3 linked regions of the Callithrix jacchus genome follow. The protein of the gene in region 3 interacts with the protein of the main gene of each other region in a biochemical or structural test. Links are inferred from orthologs where the notes say so. Each region holds a gene or a part of one and is shown on either strand. Other genes may lie near its edges. The genes, in order: SMARCA2, SMARCA4 and SIN3A.

Evidence for each region.
Region 1: the proteins of SIN3A (region 3) and SMARCA2 form a complex in vitro, tested with the Homo sapiens proteins (2 studies listed by BioGRID). The link is inferred for Callithrix jacchus from reciprocal best matches to the Homo sapiens genes SIN3A and SMARCA2.
Region 2: the proteins of SIN3A (region 3) and SMARCA4 form a complex in vitro, tested with the Homo sapiens proteins (2 studies listed by BioGRID). The link is inferred for Callithrix jacchus from reciprocal best matches to the Homo sapiens genes SIN3A and SMARCA4.

What each region holds. Positions count from the first base shown.
Region 1 is NC_133502.1:108,678,373-108,681,963, forward strand, and holds the end of SMARCA2 (SWI/SNF-related matrix-associated actin-dependent regulator of chromatin subfamily A member 2), read left to right. Parts: intron 1-187; coding exon 188-330; intron 331-1,625; coding exon 1,626-1,661; 3' UTR 1,662-2,547; downstream 2,548-3,591. UniProt on the Homo sapiens protein: ATPase involved in transcriptional activation and repression of select genes by chromatin remodeling (alteration of DNA-nucleosome topology).
Region 2 is NC_133523.1:10,186,530-10,190,711, forward strand, and holds part of SMARCA4 (SWI/SNF-related matrix-associated actin-dependent regulator of chromatin subfamily A member 4), read left to right. Parts: intron 1-374; coding exon 375-538; intron 539-2,763; coding exon 2,764-2,991; intron 2,992-3,238; coding exon 3,239-3,337; intron 3,338-3,594; coding exon 3,595-3,672; intron 3,673-4,182. UniProt on the Homo sapiens protein: ATPase involved in transcriptional activation and repression of select genes by chromatin remodeling (alteration of DNA-nucleosome topology).
Region 3 is NC_133509.1:22,403,421-22,407,702, forward strand, and holds the start of SIN3A (paired amphipathic helix protein Sin3a), read left to right. Parts: upstream 1-1,217; 5' UTR 1,218-1,398; intron 1,399-4,282. UniProt on the Homo sapiens protein: Acts as a transcriptional repressor. Corepressor for REST. Interacts with MXI1 to repress MYC responsive genes and antagonize MYC oncogenic activities. Also interacts with MXD1-MAX heterodimers to repress transcription by tethering SIN3A to DNA.

The sequences.
Region 1 (3,591 bases), on a different chromosome or scaffold from region 3:
TGAAGACAGGTTGGCAAGTGAAAGGGTCGCTAACTAGATAGAACCACGCAGAACAGGCATGAACTGGAAATGTTCTGGGCACCCTGGGATGCTTGTGTTGTCTGCAGGTTGCTGATAGTCTTATCACCAATACAAAGATCTCCTTGTGATTACTTATTCGTGTCTATTTTATTTGCTTTGGTTTTAGCAAAATCAGTCAAGGTGAAAATCAAGCTCAATAAAAAAGATGAGAAAGGCCGGGACAAAGGGAAAGGCAAGAAAAGGCCAAACCGAGGAAAAGCCAAACCTGTAGTGAGCGATTTTGACAGCGATGAGGAGCAGGATGAACGTGTAAGTATAGCCAACTGGGATGAAGGCAGAGATGCCCTCTCCAGTGCTCGCTGGCCTCTCGCATTTCCATGCCCCTTCAGCCTTTTTGCTTTATTACCCAGGGGTGGAAATGTCAGGATTAGTGAGATTTCATTATTGAGGGATGTGAACGGAGCTGTATGATTTAAAATAAACGATTGGGGCTTTGTTTACTGCTTTTTTAATAGTCTTCAAAAGTGAAAAACTACTAAATCAAGTTCATTCTCCCCCCTTTTTAATCTTCCCAAATGCTTTCTTATAAATATGGTTTACCCCACAGCCAGTTAATATTTTATATCCATCACACCCAGCATGGTGCCTGGTACATAGCAGTAGATTAGATGGAAGAATGAGAAAAAGTGTTATGACGTCAGTTACTGGCTCAAGTTGCTACTTAAGGGACTGTGTAAAAACTCATGAGTTTTTAAGTACCCAGGGGTGTTATTTTTAATATTTGAAAAATTCGAGGAGCATCTATTGAGACAGACATTTAAATAGGTACCTTCCTGTGTGTTAGCATATTAAATACTGATGTCAGCATCATGAGATAGATGTCACTCTCAAAAAATGTGTCACAGAAATGGTTAGGTTATGTGTGTTTTGCTACAGGTCACATACAGGGGTGGAATTTGGACCCAAGTAACATAACTCAGTCTAGTGTGCTATCCCTGACTGGTCAGCAAGGTAGAAGAGTGGGCAGAAACTCCGACACCTTGGCTTTTGAATTGCCCTTCATTTCATCCATTCACTTTCCAGAGGATGGTTTTCTGGCACCCATTATTTTCTTTCTGGAAAGACACATTTCCCTTTTAGTGTATGTGCTAGTTGGATTTACCTTCAACACATGACCGTTTTCAGAATTATTTTCTCACTCCAGCCTTAACCCTTGATGCAAGCATTTTTGAATACATTTAAAATACTGCATTGTCTATAGAAGACATGACATGCAGGGTATTTTTTTTTTCCTCCCATCAATTTTCTAAAACCTAGGGCTGGAAACGAGAAAATATTCACCATAAACCTTTCCAGCTAAAGTGAAAGGGCACAAACAGCACAGAGGGTGCACACTGCTTTGGGGTTTTTCAATAAGGAAATCTTCGCAGCTTAGAGGCTGCTGATGCCTCTTTAATGTGTTTCTGTGCTCCCACGGAAAGAGATTTGGAGGGTTGTTTCCAAAATGTTATTTTTTCTTACTAGCCTCTTAATGGTGTGTTGTTGTTATATCTTCTTTTTATCGCATGTGATGTTACTTCATTTTATCTTATTTTTACTTTTAGGAACAGTCAGAAGGAAGTGGGACTGATGATGAGTGATCGATATGGACCTTTTTTCCTTGGTAGAACTGAATTCCTTCCTCCCCTGTCTCATTTCTACCCAGTGAGTTCATTTGTCATATAGGCACTGGGTTGTTTCTATATCATCATCATCTATAAACTAGCTTTAGGATAGTGCCAGACAAACATATGATATCATGGTGTAAAAAACACACACATCCACAGATATTTGTAACATATTGTGACCAAATGGGCCTCAGAGATTCAAAGATTGAAACAAACGAAAAAGCTTTTGATGGAAAATATGTGGGTGGATAGTATATTTCTATGGGTGGGTCTAATTTGGTAACGGTTTGATTGTGCCTGGTTTTATCACCTGTTCAGAGAAGATTTTTGTCTTTTGTAGCACTGATAACCAGGAGAAGCCATTAAAAGCCACTGGTTATTTTATTTTTCATCAGGCAATTTTTGAGGTTTTTATTTGTTCGGTATTGTTTTTTTACACTGTGGTACATATAAGCAACTTTAATAGGTGATAAATGTACAGTAGTTAGATTTCACCTGCATATACATTTTTCCATTTTATGCTCTATGATCTGAACAAAAGCTTTTTGAATTGTATAAGATTTATGTCTACTGTAAACATTGCTTAATTTTTTTGCTCTTGATTTAAAAAAAAGTTTTGTTGAAAACGCTATTGAATATTGCAATCTATATAGTGTATTGGATGGCTTCTTTTGTCACCCTGATCTCCTATGTTTCCAATGTGTATCGTCTCCTTCTCCCTAAAGTGTACTTAATCTTTGCTTTCTTTGCACAATGTCTTTGGTTGCAAGTCATAAGCCTGAGGCAAATAAAATTCCAGTAATTTCCAAGAATGTGGTGTTGGTGCTTTCCTAATAAAGAGATAATTTAGCTCAACAAATGCAGCCTCTTTCTTTGCATTCTAGAGGATTGAAACCCTTGTGTCTGAAGTGGCAGTTTTCCGGAGAGGGCTGGGCAGGCTCTTGCTACAGAACACTTGATAGGGAAAAAAAGAGAGGCTGAGAGAGCCAGTCTCCTTGGAGTGGTCCAGGTGTGTCACCCGGGAGCCTGCTGCACCCATGACATTAAACTATTCAACAACAGAAGAGATGCTGCCGTGGATCAAGCCGTATGAAGTCCCTGCTCAGCCTTCAGTTTTGTTTCTTAATCAATCAGAAAATCTCTATTGCTATTTATGTCTTTTGATTTTGAAAGGTTTCAAAAATATTCCATCAAAAGACTGGTTCAGTGAACACCTATATACCATCCAACTGAAATTCAACAATGATTTATCCTTACCCTGTTATTTTACCAAACCACTGGAAAGTAAGTTGCAGTCATCATGATACTTTGCATCTAAGAAAAAGGGTATCTCCTAGCCAACTACAGTCCAGTATCACACAAAAGGAATTGATAGTTCCCTGATATCTAATAGACAAGCCATAGTCACATTTTCCCAATTGTTCTAACATTATTTTGTAGTTGTTTTGTTTCAGCCGGGATCTTTTCAAGGCTCACACTTTGATAGTAATATTCATCTCATTATCTTTTTTAAAAGTCTCAAAAAAATAGCACAAAGGTGGGCACATTCTTCCTTAACCTGATGAATGGATAGAATCAAAATGGGAGCGTTTTCCTTCAGGACTACTGGGTTGGTGAAAGCTTCCTTTTTTAGAATAATCTACGGGGAACTCCAGGATTCTTGCTTTTATATATGAGGATTTGCCAATGCCATATCCTGCTTTGAGTCTTGAAGGAAATTTGATCCACACAGAGTGCAGTCCTCCTGAAAAACTTCTTTGTCTGGCTCAATGTCGACTTGTGTGTTAATTTCCAGTAATCAAAGCATTCAGGAGGAGTTTCCCTTCTCGGTTGATTTCTTGGGATTTGCTAACTTCAATAGGATTGGAGACCTCTGTGGAAGAGTATACCACATTAGTTTCTC
Region 2 (4,182 bases), on a different chromosome or scaffold from region 3:
TGTGTCTCTGCTCCCCATGGAATGGCACATGGCAGAGTAGGGGAGAGTCCAGGGCTGTGGTGGTGGCGGCCGTGCTGACCCTGTGGCGTGACTGTGAGTTAGGTGCCAGGCTCTGTGCTCCAGGCCTGCCTCCTCTAGTTCTCCCACCAAGGCCTATTTTAATCTCTGAGGTGGGTAGAGAGGCATTGGGTGGTAAAACTGGAAATCTGGGTACTCACCAGTGGCCCACAGGCCTGTGTGGAGAGTGCAGAGCCAGGGATCTAGGGATGCTGGCGGGAACCAATTCTGTTGCAGCATCAGAAGCAGGTTTTCCCTGGCACCTGCTCCCCACCCCTGGTCACCCCACTGACCCTGTTCTTCTCTGTGCCTGTCAGGAACCACGAAGGCGGAAGACCGGGGCATGCTGCTGAAAACCTTCAACGAGCCCGGCTCCGAGTACTTCATCTTCCTGCTCAGCACCCGGGCCGGGGGGCTCGGCCTGAACCTCCAGTCGGCTGACACTGTGATCATTTTCGACAGCGACTGGAATCCTCACCAGGTAAAAGCAGGCTGAGCGCAGGTTGGGGGGAAAGGAGGTGGTGCCTGTGAAACCTCAACACTGACCCTGGCTTGAGGGTCCTCCAGCCTCCTCCACATTGTCCTGGCCTCCAGTAGCCAGGAAGAGCCACACCCATATCTCCATAGGTCATCGAGACAGCAGAGAAGGGGTCCTGTTTCCCAAAATACAAACAGCCTTTCCCTCTGATTGGGAAAGCAGTGTAGAAGCCATCTATCATTTTGGTTTTTCTTAAATCTTGGAATGGCCCCAGTGAGAAGGAGGTGGAAGGTACCCTAATCAATCCCGTGCCATCACTGTGGGCCAGCCCCGCAGGCATGCTGTGTGCTTGCACACGCTGGCACTTGTTCAGACAACTGGGGGTGAACTCCATGCCCCTTGTTTACTTCCTCCTCTTGTTCCATAACCATGTACTCCCCATGGACCTCAGTGTAGGTGGATACCAGGTCATGCTGTTACAAAGCTACAAGAGTTTCAAAATGCACAAAACTCTTCTCTGTGTTTCATTGTAAGGCTGTCACATTCTTGTTATTTTTAATACGCAAACACCAGTGACACGTGGTCAGGAGTCCCTTTTCCCTTCCTGTCCAGCCCTGCTCTGTCCCGAGTCTCTGCCAGCCCGTCTGCCTTCGTGAACGTGTGTACTGAGATTAACAGAGGCGGCGTGGCCTGGCAGGTGTCTCTTCCACCGAGCAGTGGGTGTCAACTGCCAGGTGCACATTGCAAGCTGCCTGGCCATCTAATCAGCCAGCAGATGGCTGCCCCAGGACATCTTGTGCCAATACCCTAAGGTTTGCTCAGCCTTCAGACGTGGGCTCGCTCCAGCCCAGCATTGTCCCCTTCACGTGCTGGTTGCTTCTACCAAAGCAGTTTCACTCCCACCGCTGAGGTGTGAACATTTCCTGTCCTTCCCTGCAGCTTGGGGGCGCCAGTGTTCTCTGTCTAAATTGTCACTCGTCTGATGGGTGAATGCCTGTTGGTCACTGGTGTCCCCTCCTGTGATCAGGCTGGGGTATAGTTTCTGCCCAGACCCTGGTGACTAGTCAGTTTCTCGAGAGGTGGTGGGGTTATGCCTCCCTGTTGGCAGGCCGGCAGTGGGCAGAGGCTACATCCCAGGGCCAGGGGCACATTGCGGAAGGCTTGCCCTGCCGGGAAGCGTGCTAACAGGGGCAGGAGGCCTGAGCAGCAGACGCAAGGCACTCCGGGACCCCACCAGCTGTGGCCTCTGCCACAACATGGGTGCCAGTCTTGAGTTTAGGAGTATCACTGGTGCTTAGCCTGTCCCTACAGCTCCTGGGCGCAGAGACGGGATTTCATGGGAGCCTCCTTGCCCTGTGCTGGGGTGATGATAAAACAAGCAGCCCAGGAGATTATAAGTGGCTCACACTTATAATCTCGGCATTTTGGGAGGCAGAGCACATGGCAAAACCCTGTCTCTACTAAAAATACAAAAATTAGGCAGGCATGGTGGTGTGCGCCTGTAGTCCCAGCTACTCAGGAAGCTGAGGCAGGAGAATTGCTTGAACTTCGGGAGACAGAGGTTGCAGTGAGCTGAGATCGTGCCACTGCACTTCAGCCTGGGTGACAGAGCAAGACCTTGTCCCAAAAAAAAACCCAAAAAAGCTAACAGCCCAGCCACGGCACCCATGTTGTTGGGACCTGACTGCACCAGTCACTGGACCATGCTCCAGGTATTTATTCACTCATAGAGGCCACACAGTAGCCACGGGGTGGGCCCAATGTCAGTAGAGGGAGTTTTGAGACTCACAAAGGTGAGACCTGGTTCCGGTTTTGTGTGCACAGTGAGAGAATGGCAGGGCCTGCAGCCAAACCAAGCACCGCCAGAGCGCAGCTGGGCTTTGACCCCATCCTGTAAACGGTGCTCAGCTGTGCAAGGCCACACTGGGGAGCTATGCAGCTGCCACAGGAGCTGCTTGAGAACATAACCCCCCGGGGGTTGGTGATTTCCCGAGTATCTGTCAGGTCCCAGTAAGGTAGAAGGTGGCACTTCTGGAGGAACGTGATGAGAGCCCCCTACCCCCAGGGACACGTGGCGACCCAGGCTCCCAGCTCCTGTGGCTGCAGGTTGGTCTGGACAGAATTGCCAGGCTGAGGGTGGCATTCACACCACACCTCTCCAGCTCATGTCGGAGGCCACCTTCTCCCTTCTGAGCTTCTTTGGGACTGACTGGCACCTCTTCCTCCAGGACCTGCAAGCGCAGGACCGAGCCCACCGCATCGGGCAGCAAAATGAGGTGCGTGTGCTCCGCCTCTGCACGGTCAACAGTGTGGAGGAGAAGATCCTGGCCGCCGCCAAGTACAAGCTCAATGTGGACCAGAAGGTGATCCAGGCCGGCATGTTTGACCAGAAGTCCTCCAGCCACGAGCGGCGCGCCTTTCTGCAGGCCATCCTGGAGCACGAGGAGCAGGACGAGGTGAGCCCAGCGCCAGCCCCAAACCCCCCCAGCGTGAGTGGTGGACGCATGAGCGGCTTTCATTTTTGTTTTTTTACCTTTTTTGCACTCTTATTTTTTTTGCATCCCTTTGGAGTAAAGGGAGTGTGGGCTGAACGGAAAGAGGATGAGTACTTGCTTTTTCTTTGAAGTGGTTTTTTTTCTAAACTGCTGGTGAAAGACGCCGGATTGACAGCCCTGGAGACTGAAGTCCTCTATTTATCCACAGAGTAGACACTGCAGCACGGGCAGCGGCAGTGCCAGCTTCGCCCACACTGCCCCTCCGCCAGCGGGCGTCAACCCCGACTTGGAGGAGCCACCTCTAAAGGTGAGAGGGGTAGTTCAGTCTCCATGCCCATTCAATCCTCGGCTTCTCGGCTGAGATGGCCAGCAAGGGCCCTGGTCCCACGGAGCGTGCGTGTGCGTGTGCGTGTGTATGCCTCTCGCTGCCGTGTGGGTCCCCATCCACCGCAGCCGCGCCGGGACCACCAGCTCATTCCCACGGACGCCACCGCTCACCACTGAGCTCGGCCGCCGCCCACCCCGGCCCCTCCGCAGCGGCACTGACAGTTTGCAATCTTGTAGGAGGAAGATGAGGTGCCCGACGATGAGACTGTCAACCAGATGATCGCCCGGCATGAAGAGGAGTTTGACCTGTTCATGGTAAGCACCGCAGGCTGCACAGTGCGGTTCAGGCATCCCACTCTGCCGCCGCCAGGAGCAGAGCAGAGGTCTTAGTGCCTGTGCCCGTGGTGGTGTCCCCAGCAGGTCAGGGAGCCAGGGATAGCTCAACTCACAGTGTAGCCCATTCATGTCTCCAGACTGACCCGTCTTCCACCCCAGCCTTCTGAGCATGATATTGGAGGGTGAGATGTACACCCACCCATTCTGCCTGTGGTCCTAGTCCTGCCCAGCCAGCTATGCTTTCTAACCGGCTCTTTAGGGCTTCACATACTCTCTTTCAGAGGGAGTTTGCCCTGTCCAAGGCCGAGGACTGACCATGGCTTCAGTTGAAGAGCCCCCTTGCCCCTGGGTGGGAAACAGGAAGCAACTAGAGCAGGACCTCTAGGCCCGCAGGCCTTATGCCTCCAGCGCTGCTGTGCTGTACAGCTGCCACCCCTCTGCTGGGTCTCCGGTTCATCTTATGCAGCCTTCCGTCCTTTCGAGTCTCCG
Region 3 (4,282 bases):
TTATGATAAATAAAGCAAATGATGCAAGGAAAGATCTGAGTCAAAGCTTTGACTTGCAGGCTGCTGAAGGTGGGGAGAGCTTTCAGACTGGGTGGCTGGGATAGAGAAAAGAAGCCTTCTCTTCCCCCAGCTATTCCTTCCACAAGAGGCACTTCTGTAGTCTCCAAACGCAGTATTACAACAGCCTCTGGGCCTCCCCTTGCTGCTTATAGGCACTTCTCAGTCCACCGTCAGAACCCATCTTTCTGCCAGGGTGCCAAACATCTTACACTATAGTTGTGGGCCTGTGACGGTGCTGCCTGCATATTCGGCTGTGCACATCCAAGAATTTCACCCAACTAAAAGTTGTAAAGTGGTTCCATTTCCACACCCCCAACCCTTTTTTATGGCTATAGCCACATATGAAGGTCATTTTTTTGCATTTACCCCTTTGTGTCCTTTGCTGACAATGACCTGCCCCTCCAATTCTGCTTGATGAAATCTTTAAGACCCAACTTGAATGCCACCTCCTCCATGAAACCAATTTTCCTTCAGCAGAAGGAATCTCTCTTCTCTGAGCTCCTATGGATGTCTATTTACATACACATTCCTGCCTTGCCTTAGTGCCTTACGTAGACTCTCCTCGGCTGAATCTGGAGCCCTTGGAGGGGTAGAGTAAGCACGTCACCCAGTCTGTAACTGCACCTAGCAGCAGATGCAGTATGAATGTCTGCCTCACCCACAGTAGGGACAAGTGCCTGCTGCCCGCGGAAGCAGGGCTTCCCGTTTGCGTTACTCGCTTTTAGGTCTACCTAACAGAGTGGACCGGACACGGTTAGGTCACACAGCCAGAGGAGTCTGCCCACCTCAGCCAGTGCCTAGGGTGCACCTACCTCCTATACTGTCTAGCTCCAAATAGGTTGTGTGTGTGAAGGAAGTTGGGGCCGGGTAGCCCGGCTGGCTCATCATCCGCATCCACCCTGAAGATCTCCGAGTCCCAGAAGGCCTCCTTCCAGTCCGAGGACCTCAAGAAACTCCAGTCGGCGGTGTGGAAGCTATAAGGGCCTCTACCACGGATACGTCTCTCACTAGCGTTTAGTTTAATAAATTTATTTATATTTTTTGGAAGGAGGGAGCATTCAATGAAGGGGAAGAGGCGGGGCGAAGGGCGGAGGCGGGCCCAGGGTGACTGACGTGAGCTCCGGGGAGCCAATGGCCCGTGGGGGGCGTTCCCCCCCATTCAGGACTCCTCGCCTGGCTCGGAAGGTATGTTAAACAGCTGCTTTTAATTTGGTCCCCCCAATCTCAGTCGTTTGGGGGGCTAATCCCCCGGCCGCTCGGTCTGGCCGGCCCGACGTGGTGTGAGCCCCACGGGCCCTGGGACCGAGCTGAGGGGAGGCTCGGAGTCCCGCGGCCGAGGTAGGCGAGGGACAGGCCAGGAAGGAGAGCTCTTGGCGCCGCCCGCTCGCCTGTGTGTGTGTTTCGAGCCGGGCCGGAGCCGTGGGGAGGGGGTCGGTCCGGCCTGGGTCGTCCCTGCGCCGGCAGTGCCGCTTAGTTTATCTCACCGAGCAGTCGGTTTTGGTAGGTTTTGGCGGCGTACTGGAGAAGGGGCGGGCAGGAGACCCCCGCTCCTGTTGTGCCTTTTTCAAAAAAAGAAAAACATTAGGAAGGAAAAGGGGGATTCCACACGCCGACTAGAACCGGGCCCGGGTTGCGGCTTGCAGGCTCGGCAGGGGGCGGCGGCTCGAGCATGGTCGGCAGGGCCCATTGAGCTTGCGGCGCCCGGAGTTGCTTGAGAGCTGGAGTTAGCGAGCGAGCCGGGGCCCGCGGCTTTCCCGACTACCCACGCTGAGCAAGGGCGGCAGCCGCCCCGAGGGTTTTGTTTCTGCCTGCAAACTTGTCGGAGGGGGCGGTGGGCGCGCTCTGGAGAGGCGCGGGCACAGTGGGCCCGCGGTTGTTATGGACTCGGGGGGCGGGGGCAACACCGGACTTGCGGGAGGGGTAGCCGGGGGCGGGAGAGGCCACCGGAAAGAGCCGCTGCGCCTCGCCGCTAACCCCGCGAGCTGCCGAGGCTCCGAACTCCCCGGCCGTAGCGGTCATCAGCATTCGGTGCCAGAACCCGGCAGGCCGCGAGCCGGCGAGGAGCTCGCACCGGTGGTGGGGAAAACCCCCAGGAACTCGGCGGCTTCGCCCCGCGGCCCCGGCTGATCTCCTTGCAAACATGGAGCTGCCTGCTTCCCCGCCCACCCCAAGGCGGCGGCGGCGGCGACTGCTGCTCTTTTCCCCTCCCCCGGCCGTGCCGCCGCCGGGCTCCCCCTTCCCGCGAGGTGCCACTGCGGGCCGCTCCGCGCGGATGGGGCGGGGGCGCGGGCGTGTGCGCGCCCACGAGGGGGTGGCCTGAAAGGGGCAGTGAAGGTCGGAAACTGGGAAAACAGTCTCCACGCTCGGAATCGGGAAAAGGAAATGCATCAGCGGGCGGGAGGGGCGCGGGGGGCGCGCCTGTCAGCCGGGATGGCGGCCGTGAGCGGGTAGGCGGAGCGCCGGCGCGAACCGTCCCGGCCGGGCGGGGCAACGCCGGGAGAGGCGGCGCAGGGGCTCCCGTCCACCGAGCGCCAGGCGGCCCCTGCCAACACTCCTCGACCCAGACTGTTTACTATCTACTCCACCGGCGGCTTGTGCAACCCGCCTGGAGGGGAGCTGAGGGGCGGGTCCGTTTCCTCTCTCCCACCTACCTCGGGCTCGCCCGGGGGCCCCGCCTTCTCTTGTCTTCCACTGGCTGGGTGAGACCCCCTTTTTTCCTCCTTCTCGGAAGTGGATTGGATGGCATTCTCCCGAGCTCCGCCTATCGGGAGGCCGGGCTGGAGTTTAAGTTGCTAGGATTTTTTTTCCGCGGAGGGAGGAGGGAGGGTTCCTGCCGCTGACAAGAGGCGCAGGGTCCCGCCCCCGCCTCTGATTGGTGGGACGAGTAGCCCGGCCTCCTCCGGCTTTGCGAGCTTGGAGTGGGAAGTCCACTCTTGTTCCCCGCCTCCTCCCTTCGCTCTTGAGCGCGCTCGGCACATGTGTGAGGCCCGCCTCGCTCCTTCGAACTGCCCTCCCGCCCGGAAGTCCTAGGCTCGGCGCCCTTGGCGAGGGGGGCGGGGATAGCCGAGAAGCCACACAAAGGTTCCACCGAGGCTCTAGACTTGGTAGCCTTCGGGGTGAAGCCAGGGGATTACAGTGAGGAGTGGATTTCGGTAGCGAAGCTCCGGAGGTTCTGCAGGGGTTGAGATCTGCACTTCGTGGCCGGGGCCAAGTACTGAAGTTCTGACCCTGTGGCTTGTCTATTTCCGCGCCCCTTGACTTCCCTGAGCTTAAACTGAGAACTCTGTAGACGCTGAAAGCGTTTGTTCTTCCCTAGGCAGGTAGCTGCCGTCCTTAGTTGGCTGTGTCTAAGATTCTTGACAACCTAGAGCGCTGGCCTGGGACCCTTTGGCGAGATCCAGCGCAGGTAGTACCCTGTGGTCACGGGAAGTCGTGAGCGGCCTAATGCTGGCTTGGGTTCTGAGTAGTTTTTGATACCATGGTGAGCCTGCCCCGTGATACTCAGTTTAGTGGTGGAAGGGGGCGCAAAGTTAGGAGTTTTGGGTCGGTTCTGCTGGAGTGCCACTTCCTCCTAGCATCCCAGCAGTTTGGCCCAGGGGTCGCTTCGTTGGTCTTATTTTTAGAGCTCCGTTCCGGGACAGGGCTTGGCTACTGGCGAGGCTGCTCCCACCTGTCGACTCCCCTTGAACTTCACAATTCGCTGTCGTGGTTTTGTGGCTCGAAGCCATCACTGGAGTCAGGCCCACCTGCTGCCAGAGCTCTTTCCTGGCCATTTCCACTGATTGCAGAGGGAGAACAGAGTTGGACCCAGGAGTGGGTTCGCCGTGCCTGTCCCTTGGGAGGAGGATTCGGCTTCCTCTGGAGTGCGGTAAAAACCTAATCCCGCCCCCTCTCCTGACGCTGGGAGAGTGTCCCCTCAAAGTGAAGTCAGCTCAGGCCCACGCTTTATTTGGTGAATAAATAAAAGCAGACTAGGAATTAAAAGCACTTTGTCTCACTGTGTGTTCGAGGCACTGTTACCTACACCAGAGAGGGCACAGGGACTGCCATTAACACTCTTGGCCAAGGAGAAGGTGAACAGCCGTTTTATGTCCCCAACTACGGAAGTTTTATCTTTTCTCTGAGTGTGACATGACCCCAAAGTTAATTTATACCGTGGCCTGTTTTAATCTTTTCCTCTCCTTTCTCAGTTCTTAGGATGCCTCCAGATCCACCGGGGAGA